2 linked regions of the Schizosaccharomyces pombe genome follow. Each later gene encodes a partner of the first gene's protein in a complex. Each region holds a gene or a part of one and is shown on either strand. Other genes may lie near its edges. The genes, in order: naa10 and naa15. A codon is read from its position in the direction of its gene.

Region 1 (3,904 bases):
GGAAAACAAATTTGGGTTCATACCTCCAATGAATTGGTTGCGAAAGAATATGCTGGGTACTGTAGACTGTTTGGTCTTTTCATGTAAATAAGCTGCTCAGGTAAGCATATGATAAAATCAGTTTGTTAACTAAACACACCTTGGATGTCAGATCCATTTTCTAGTGTAACATCAAGTTAGTTAAAAAGGATGAAAAGCAGAACAAAAAACTTGAAATGTTTCGCTATTTCTCAAGATCATGGAAGGAAACAAAAATTTTCGTAGTTTCATTACACAATTATGAGGTTTCGAAAACCCAATTAGACTATTATTTCATATACTTAATTTATGTAGACATAACTCAAGAAACTTTACAATCGATCAACTGAATCTTCAGCTCTTAAACAAATGAAGAATACCATACTTACCTATTTTATCTAACTCATAAGCCTTATACGGAGCAGAGTACTTTGTAAGAGTATTTTTGGCTGCTTTGCAGAAAGGACAGAACGATTTACTAAAGACAGTAACCGGATTGTTTGAGATCGCCTTTTCAACAAAAGCTTTTGCTATAGAAGTCATTTCAGCTTAAATAGGTATTCGTCTAAAAATGCAGTGGATATTGGTGACAAGTAATACAGTATGACTATCGAGGTGTTGGGCTACCTAACACCAAACGACACGATTAGGCAGTTAGATGTGATAAACAAAAACTCGAAATTACAAGAGTTATTTCGAAATATATTTAGTACACCAGTAAGCGAGTACAATCAAATGTTAAATACGCTATCACGAAGTTATAACTGCAGTATCGTACACTACACCCTAATTCACTAATTAGAAATAACGGTATATATTTTATTAGTTGTTCAATGCAAGAGATTGAACGGTTTTTGCTAGTTCGTCGTTGGTTTCTGGTGTATCGAATTTCAAAGTAGAAAAATCTTTGCTAAAAATTGTTAGTAACCTAGATAGTTGTGATGACGTTGAACAGTCATATATTGTCTGAAACAACGTAGGTAATTATACAGAAGTTGACCAAACTAAAGAAAGAACGATTGTCACAAAGATTGTATATAGTTTTTGGAAAGAATACTCATTAAACGATCCATGCAACCATCCCCAACCTAGTTTTTACAACAAAGTACTTACTGCATAGCATAAGCATCTTCACCATCAGCATAATATTTGCTTTCAATCCCTTGAACGCTAAAATAATGTTAGAATCTCTTCAATGATGGCGAGTAAAAACATACTCAAATTGCAAAGTATCACGATAAAGATGAATAGCAGCTCTGTTGCTTTTACGAACATGAAGACTCATATATTTGGCGCCATAAACTTCGACCATGGCTCTTTCTGTTCATTTAAGTAGTTAGTATCTTTTACTTTTTTTAAAAAAATTTTGTTTAAGGAATGGACCGAAAATATCAAGGAATCAGCAGGAAGGAAACATTGTCGAAAACAAATTAGGTAAAAAAAATGAATTGTTGCAAGGAAAAAACCAACTCACCAAATGAACAATTCAAAGTATTAGCAGACCAAGTCTTGCACAAAATAAAATATATACATATTGGAATAATCATCGATAACAACTGCAAAAAAGCTTAAGATTTCCCTCTAGCTCCTCCTTGGATATATCCGTAATCTACTTCGCTCTCAATTAACACTTACGACTTTGAACCATGAGACGTTTAGCAAGTCCTAGATGACGATAGGAGCGCATTACTGAGACACTTGTGATATGACCATGAGGGATCCCATCCTTAGGCTCTTCTTCCATTTTTGCAAGAACATATCCTACGACACGTCCTTTCGGATCAGTAGCAACATAAGAAAGCATAGGCCAAGAAATAGCATGATAAAGGTCTACATTAAATTAGAAAATAAGAATCATTGTTTTAATACTGGAAGTTCATTGCCGTGCAGCAAGAATTACAATGAATTGAACTTACAATATTTTAACTGATAATTTTCAGGCAAGTTATGTAAGTTGCAGTTCTGCATCCCAGTAAGGTCACTTATACGAGCTGGCCGAATATCCATCTTGCCAATCGTTTAATTTTTAGCAATATCTATGATTTTTGTTTGTTAGTGGTTGGAATCAAATTTCCAGCATACCATATTTTAAGAAAGCGCAGTGAATGTAAAACGAAATTCAGGGAATGCAAAGCAACTACTGCAAAGCTTTTAGAAATGATAAGATTCATTTGATGTTAATATTATCTGTCAAGTATTTTAACGTCAAATATTTACTGCTTTGCTAAAAAAACTATGTTTTTTGGAGACTCACAATGTTCGACGTTAAGCTCCTTTTAAGTTACAAGCCGTTTAGTACACATTGCATAACCAAATTTCTAATTACTTAATGTTGCGTTTCCTAAGTTGTTTTGATTTTCAATGCAGATGATGAGAAATCCTTATTATAAATAGACAATGATGTTTACGATGGATTGCACACTTAAAGACATTAAATCAAAACTTTATATTAATTAGCCATTAATTATATAATCTAAGTTAATACTTATAATCACCATAACATATTTTGTTTACTGTGGAATCAAAAAGGATTAGCGATGCTTGATTGAATCCTTTATTATCTTAAAGTCACACTACCTTGGTTTTCCTTTAAAAGTTTTAACAGCAGCCTTGTGGTTTCACTTAGGCTAAGTAAACTCAACGAAAAAACATTAAGATTTGTTATTCGTAAATTCAGCTAGTAGACCTCGAACATTAGGTTTTCCCATTGGTAAAAATGTAAACAAAACCGCATTAATCATATAAAACATTAAGCGAAAAAAAACAATAGATTGCATTTATGGCTATAAATAATGAAAACGAATTAGAGTATAAATTAATAAAAAAAAACAAGAATCCTAAAATATCAAATTCAAAAAAAAAGAATTCGACACGTCCAGCTTTACAAGACAAAACTAATCAAACATTACCAATTCATCAAAATCAAGCCTTTTCAAACATTCTTCCATCTGATTTTTCAATAATTAAGACACCTGAGACAAAAACTGCTGACGATTTCCCCGTAAATGGTTACGAAGGCTTAAACATTTTAAAATTTGATCTCGAGTTATTTTACAAACTTAAACCTGTAGCAACGTCGACCCCGAAGTCTTGCATGAGGACGGGCTCCAATTTATTTTTAAATGAAACTGTTAAACATGTTCCAGATGAACGGTTAGTTTCAAACATCAAGAATACCCAAACAAAGGACTCTATCACAAGAGATTCTGCGTATTATCACAGAAAAACTATGACAGAAAGCATAATCAAAACACTCGCTGCATTTGATGCTGAGGTTGATGAGATTATATTGTTTTAAATCTCTAACTGACACTGGAATATAATCGTACTTTTCAAGTACTAACGCATCTATTTTTCATATGATATATTTATTAAAAAAGATTTACAAACCTGCTTTACAAATCAACCTTGACTACGATTTTATTTATACATATCGATCAGGACAAACGATAGCATGTTCAACAATATTTGACGCGAAAGGCCGACAAAGAAAAGTGGATAAAGTCAGCGCATAAATTTAACCTTCAAACATTTCTTTCATTTTAAAAAAGCAAGTAAGGAAAGCACATACTTTTCGGTAGTCTACATACTCGGTAAATTAAGATACGGATTATGCTATAATAAACAGAAAAACATCTAATTATCATTTAACACTTCTTTACGATGAAAAGACCGCATATTCCGTGGTTCAATCGTATATTTCATGAGATTATTCTGGTTTTCTGTACTGCATTTTTTCAACCCGGACCTCTCCATCAAAAATCCTATAAACATAAAGTATTAAAACTGCTCCTTGAACATCCATTAAAACAAAGCTTGGAACGATTTTTTCATCATCTTCTACAGCAGAAACATTAGGTGCACCTGTAGCTGATCCAGGGTTAAC
Region 2 (5,096 bases), on another chromosome or scaffold:
CCAGATGGTACAATTTTTTATTATTCTTTTGTTTACGGATGACAGTAAAAGGAATGTAATTTTGGTTGTTTTAGCTTCCTTATTGTTTTCGAATACAGAGGTATTCTAATATGCGAATTATGTTGTACCTATATTACTGAAATAGCTCATTCATGAGGGACGTGGTTTAGTACATCCCACTTATAGCCTTGGGAATGCTATAATTGTAAATGTTATTTTACAGTATCGTTTAACTAGTAATAAGTATCTGTTTTGGTAGCTTTATTATGCAAAGCTAACAGAATGAATTAAACACCGCACATAAAAGTGATATGCAAAAACGTAATACAATGCAATACAGTGTAGTATGGCTGGGATAAAATAACAGCTGTACGATGCTCCTCCTAATAAAAGTAAGCAATAACAAGAATACAAATTGCCCCCACTCGGAATCGAACCAAGGATCTTCGCATTACAAGTGCGATGCTGTACCACTAAGCCATAGGGGCAACGTTGATTGCTGCAGATTTGAAGTAACATATTAATAAGTAGATATTTTTGTAAGATTCCATTAAAAGAGAGTGATATTCATTGTTTATATAAAATACTATTGTCTGAAAGATAAAGAAGTTTTTATAAATTTTTTCTTTTTAGAAATATAAATTATAGTAGAAAATGTGAAACTTTTTCTTGCGCGGGATCTTGCACTTCGCAAATCTAAAAATCAGTATTCGACTCTTTAAGTCTCTTCAATGCTTAATTTACCATAATTTCTCATCCATTGTTTTTTCTTAGATAATGAGATTCATCCAGCGTTCTAGTTAATATAAAAATCTTTCTTCACTTGAGGATTTGAAGGCTAATTACGGTACCTGCTTAGTAGAATACATATCGTTAAATTAAAGAAACTTTTCTTATAGCGTATTTGATACTTTTCGTGTGTTGCAATTAACTTGTTAATTGCAATTTTTTTGATTAAAAAAAATAATGTATCCTTCGCATTCGAAAGGATATTTCAAATTTTTGTGCAATGCATCTCTGTTTGCCAAATACTTGAAAAGCAACGAGTTCTTCTTCTACTGAGAACTCCGCAAGGTAGGTAAATCTCGTGTAGCTGCTAAACAAATCCTACAGATAAGAAAAAATTGCCATTATACTTTTTTTCTGTAATATTTTTAAAGGCACAATTATCCAATTTTGTTTAACAGAACTAGTGTATTGCTAGATGAGGAAGTCTGTAGAAATGTGAAGTCGTATCCCATAGTATCAGGAATTAGTAAATTTAAGAGATTTTCAATCCACTGATTGTTTTAACTTCTCTAGTTTGTAATGTACCTTTTGTTTCAACCTTGGATGTTGGGACGTTTCTAGTTGAGGAGTGAAGCTACGAACCGTTTTAAATAATTAAGTGGTATTGCCAAATAATAATTAGTTTATAAATATACTGGAGTATACTGGTTTTCTATTCAAAAGATTCCCGATAAACTTTGCCTTACAGATATGTAATACCGTGTCCCCAGTAATTGCAAACAACTAGCAATTGAACCAATAATGAAAATTGATGTAGTCATTTGGTTCATCGATACTGGCCAAAATACTTAAAAATAGTTTGTTTACTCTTTGAATTTTCGTATTTTCATATAAGAAGGACATGCAAAAATTGTTCTCGATGTGCCATCTTTTCATGTTTACCATCCATCGTCCATTGCATGGCTATTCGATAAGTTTCCATAAACGATTTTTTGAATATGTAGTACTCAGCGAAGTATGAACGCAATGTTTGCTGTCTTTTTCTACAAAACCATTTCTTCCAGGTCTAACATTCAACGATACGAGATAATTTATGAATCAACGTCTTTTTATAAGCACAAGACAAAGAGTAATGAAGAAGAAAGCAACCTTGCAATGTGGAACACATTAACGAAATTCATTCCAAGGGTTCGTACTCTTCCCAACCTGTCCTCTACACTTACCCATGGCCAAAGTTCAACTGAGCCCGAAGGAGATTACCCTTTTTAGAACAGCATTAGTATGTTAATCTTCTACAATTAACAAATTGAAAATTTCTCTAACCCTGTAGAAATGCTATGAAACAAAACAGTACAAAAAAGGATTAAAGGCTATCGAACCCCTGTTAGAAAGGCATCCAGAGCATGGAGAATCCTTAGCAATTAAGGGAATTTTATTACACTCTTTAGGTAATACCAAAGAAGGATACGACAACGTACGACTTGGTCTTCGCAACGATGTTGGATCCGGTGTTTGTTGGCACATTTTCGGACTAATTAGCAGAGCCGATAAAGATTATGTACAGGCCGCTAAATGTTACATTAATGCTCATAAGCTTGAGAAAAACAACTCGAGTCTTTTGCGTGACTTGGCGTTACTCCAATCTCAACTTCGTCAATACAAGGCTCTAGCAGACACTAGGAATGCTTTGCTGCAGGACAATCCAGGAGTACGTGCCAATTGGAGCGCTTTAGCAGTAGCTCAATTTCTTCGAGGGGAATACGCTAGTGCATATAAAATAGTGGATGCATTTGAATCCACTATAAATCAAGGTGTGCCCGTTGATACCCAAGAAGAATCCGAAGCCATGTTATTCATGAACCTTGTTATATTAAAAAAAGATGGTGTTGAGGATGCCTATAAGCATTTACTGTCAATAGAAAAGAAGGTATTGGATCGGGTTGCGTTTTTGGAGACTCGGGCAGAGTACGAGCTTTATCTTTCCAAAATGGAAGAAGCCAAATCAACCATATATCTTCTGCTTGATCGAAATCCAGACAATCACCAATATTATTATAATCTTCAAAGAGCGTATGGGTATGAGGATGCCAGTGGTAAAGTATTGGATAGTGCTGAGTGGTTGAATTTATATTCTCAACTTGCTAAAAGGTATCCCAAATCTGAGTGCCCTACGAGACTACCTTTAGAAAAGCTTGAAGGGGATGAGTTTTTAACTCATGTAGATCTTTACTTGCGCAAAAAGCTTAAGCGTGGAATCCCATCTGTGTTCGTCGATGTCAAATCTTTGTACAAAGATACCAAAAAATGCAAAGTTGTTGAGGATTTGGTTAGTAAATACGCTTCCTCTCTTTCTACGACCAACAAATTTTCTGAAGATGACGATAATTCACAGATTGAAATTCCCACCACGCTTTTATGGACATATTACTTTTTAGCTCAGCATTTTGATCATGTTGGTGAGTTGGAAAAAGCTGAGAAATATGTTGATTTGGCAATTGATCATACCCCAACGCTTGTGGAGCTGTTCATGACGAAAGCTAGGATTTCCAAACATAAGGGAGAGCTTCAAACTGCCATGGAGATTATGGATCATGCTCGTAAACTTGATCTGCAAGATAGATTTATTAACGGCAAGTGTGCTAAATATATGCTCCGTAATGATGAAAATGAACTTGCCGCCAAAACGGTATCGTTGTTTACACGCAATGAGGCTGTTGGTGGTGCTGTTGGCGATCTTGCAGATATGCAATGCCTGTGGTACATGCTTGAAGATGGGAAATCATTTGCTAGACAAAAAAAATTTGCTTTGGCTTTGAAACGTTTTAGTACTGTTTTTAAAATATTTGATACTTGGGCTGATGATCAATTTGATTTCCACTTCTTCGCATTTCGCAAGGGATCTCTTCGTACATACCTGGACTTAATGTCTTGGGAAGACAGTGTTTATGACGATCCTTCGTTTAGAGAGGCTGCCCAAGGGTCTATTGAAATCTATTTTGCCTTATTTGATTTACCATTTGCTAAATATAGCCCTAAATTACCCGATTTTGAGAAGCTTTCTAGTGGAGAAATAAATGAAGAAGAGGAAAAGAAGATATACAAGAAGCTGAAGAAGGACCTTAGTAAACGATTGGAACGTGCTGAGAAGCTAAAAGAGGCCGATAAATCTCGTGCAAAATCTGAGGACGGTATGCCGGTAAAGTATGATGAGGATCCTCTTGGGGAGAACTTAGTTGCTACTAGTGAACCTTTGAAAGAAGCTCAAAAATGTCTTGAAAAATTACTCCCCTATGGAGATAAAAACCCAAGTGCTTACATTTTGGCGGCTCAACTTTACACTCGTTTGAAAAATTTCGATACCGCTAGTAAATACCTCGAACAAGCTAAAGTAATTTTGGGACAGAATGACCCAACTGTGATATCTACAGAGAAGTTTTATAACTCTATCAAAACTCAGTCTAACTAAAATAAAAGGTTTTTTACTTTTTGTACAATAATAGAAGCTGCAAACCACTTTGTTTAACAAATTAGTATGGAAAATAAAAGTGCATGGAAATAATATAAAGATGGTATTTTCATTGTTTTGTGCACCCCATTGTACCATTGAAATGTCTTGTTTTATTATATTGTTACAGAGAGAATATTCTGGTATATTTAACAAATCCCGGTTTTTGCCTACGCATATATATGTAGCATCACCAACCCACACGTACTTAGGATATCCGAAACGCAATTGTCCTTCAATTTGCTTACGCTTTGATTAATTATTACTCATCTTAATCAAAGTTAAATTTTTATTTCATTGTAAACACATTTAATATGTTGTTTGATGCTTTTACTAACGGATTTATGAATGATATTTTTGAATTTGGTGACCGATCGAAATTCAACAGATCGGCATGGTTATCGTGCTGGGGCCCAGCATTGGAGCTAAGAGAAACAGAGGATACTATTGAAGTTGATGTTGAAGTCCCTGGAATCGATAAGCAAAACCTTAAAGTTGATTTACATGGATCGAAGTTGACTATTTCTGGTGAGCGTAAAAAGCCAGAGGAAGAAAAAGCGGGCCCTCTTATTCGCTGGAGTGAAAGATGTGTAGGTGCTTTTTCACGTACGATAACCCTTCCTCAGCCTGTCGATGAAAAACTTATACACGCTTCTCTTAACAATGGTATCCTAAGCATTGTTATGAAGAAAAAGAACCCTGAGTTTACGACAAGAATTGTTGAAATTCAGTAGTTTCAAATACTCAATGCTAATTTAAACTATAGCATTGTCTTTTTTTGGTCCTGGCATTTTAATGCTTGTTTTATGTTTGTTCACCACCTTTTTTGCATGACATCCGATAAACTGCATGTAACAGATAA

Evidence for each region.
Region 2: the proteins of naa10 (region 1) and naa15 are in contact, whole or in part, in a crystal structure (PDB 4KVM), measured with the Schizosaccharomyces pombe proteins. Residues at the interface, in NP_594309.1 of Schizosaccharomyces pombe: Met1 (codon at 2,025), Asp2 (codon at 2,022), Ile3 (codon at 2,019), Arg4 (codon at 2,016), Pro5 (codon at 2,013), Arg7 (codon at 2,007), Ile8 (codon at 2,004), Ser9 (codon at 2,001), Thr12 (codon at 1,992), Gln15 (codon at 1,983), Asn16 (codon at 1,980), Leu19 (codon at 1,971), His20 (codon at 1,968), Asn21 (codon at 1,965), Leu22 (codon at 1,962), Pro23 (codon at 1,959), Asn25 (codon at 1,953), Tyr26 (codon at 1,950), Gln27 (codon at 1,947), Leu28 (codon at 1,944), Lys29 (codon at 1,941), Leu32 (codon at 1,846), Tyr33 (codon at 1,843), Ala35 (codon at 1,837), Ile36 (codon at 1,834), Ser37 (codon at 1,831), Pro39 (codon at 1,825), Met40 (codon at 1,822), Tyr43 (codon at 1,813), Pro48 (codon at 1,798); in NP_588160.1 of Schizosaccharomyces pombe: Gln185 (codon at 2,558), Glu189 (codon at 2,570), Leu219 (codon at 2,660), Asp220 (codon at 2,663), Arg221 (codon at 2,666), Val222 (codon at 2,669), Arg251 (codon at 2,756), Asn252 (codon at 2,759), Asp254 (codon at 2,765), Asn255 (codon at 2,768), His256 (codon at 2,771), Gln257 (codon at 2,774), Lys294 (codon at 2,885), Cys297 (codon at 2,894), Arg300 (codon at 2,903), Lys322 (codon at 2,969), Ile327 (codon at 2,984), Ser329 (codon at 2,990), Val332 (codon at 2,999), Asp333 (codon at 3,002), Ser336 (codon at 3,011), Val414 (codon at 3,245), Glu415 (codon at 3,248), Met418 (codon at 3,257), Asp444 (codon at 3,335), Asp447 (codon at 3,344), Arg448 (codon at 3,347), Phe449 (codon at 3,350), Ile450 (codon at 3,353), Phe474 (codon at 3,425).

The regions. Positions count from the first base shown.
Region 1 is NC_003424.3:3,727,928-3,731,831, reverse strand, and holds naa10 (NatA N-acetyltransferase complex catalytic subunit Naa10), read right to left. Parts: upstream 2,080-3,904; 5' UTR 2,026-2,079; coding exon 1,935-2,025; intron 1,849-1,934; coding exon 1,654-1,848; intron 1,339-1,653; coding exon 1,236-1,338; intron 1,189-1,235; coding exon 1,132-1,188; intron 929-1,131; coding exon 841-928; 3' UTR 817-840; downstream 1-816. Other genes in the region: glutaredoxin Grx2, read right to left, coding at 24-92, 140-160, 408-561; moa1 (meikin), read left to right, coding at 2,798-3,316; retromer complex subunit Vps29, read right to left, coding at 3,728-3,904. UniProt on the Schizosaccharomyces pombe protein: Catalytic component of the NatA N-terminal acetyltransferase, which catalyzes acetylation of proteins beginning with Met-Ser, Met-Gly and Met-Ala.
Region 2 is NC_003421.2:1,360,674-1,365,769, forward strand, and holds naa15 (NatA N-acetyltransferase complex regulatory subunit Naa15), read left to right. Parts: upstream 1-1,944; 5' UTR 1,945-1,954; coding exon 1,955-2,008; exon of another isoform or gene 2,009-2,043; intron 2,044-2,059; coding exon 2,060-4,195; 3' UTR 4,196-4,280; downstream 4,281-5,096. Other genes in the region: Hsp20 family protein, read left to right, coding at 4,549-4,968.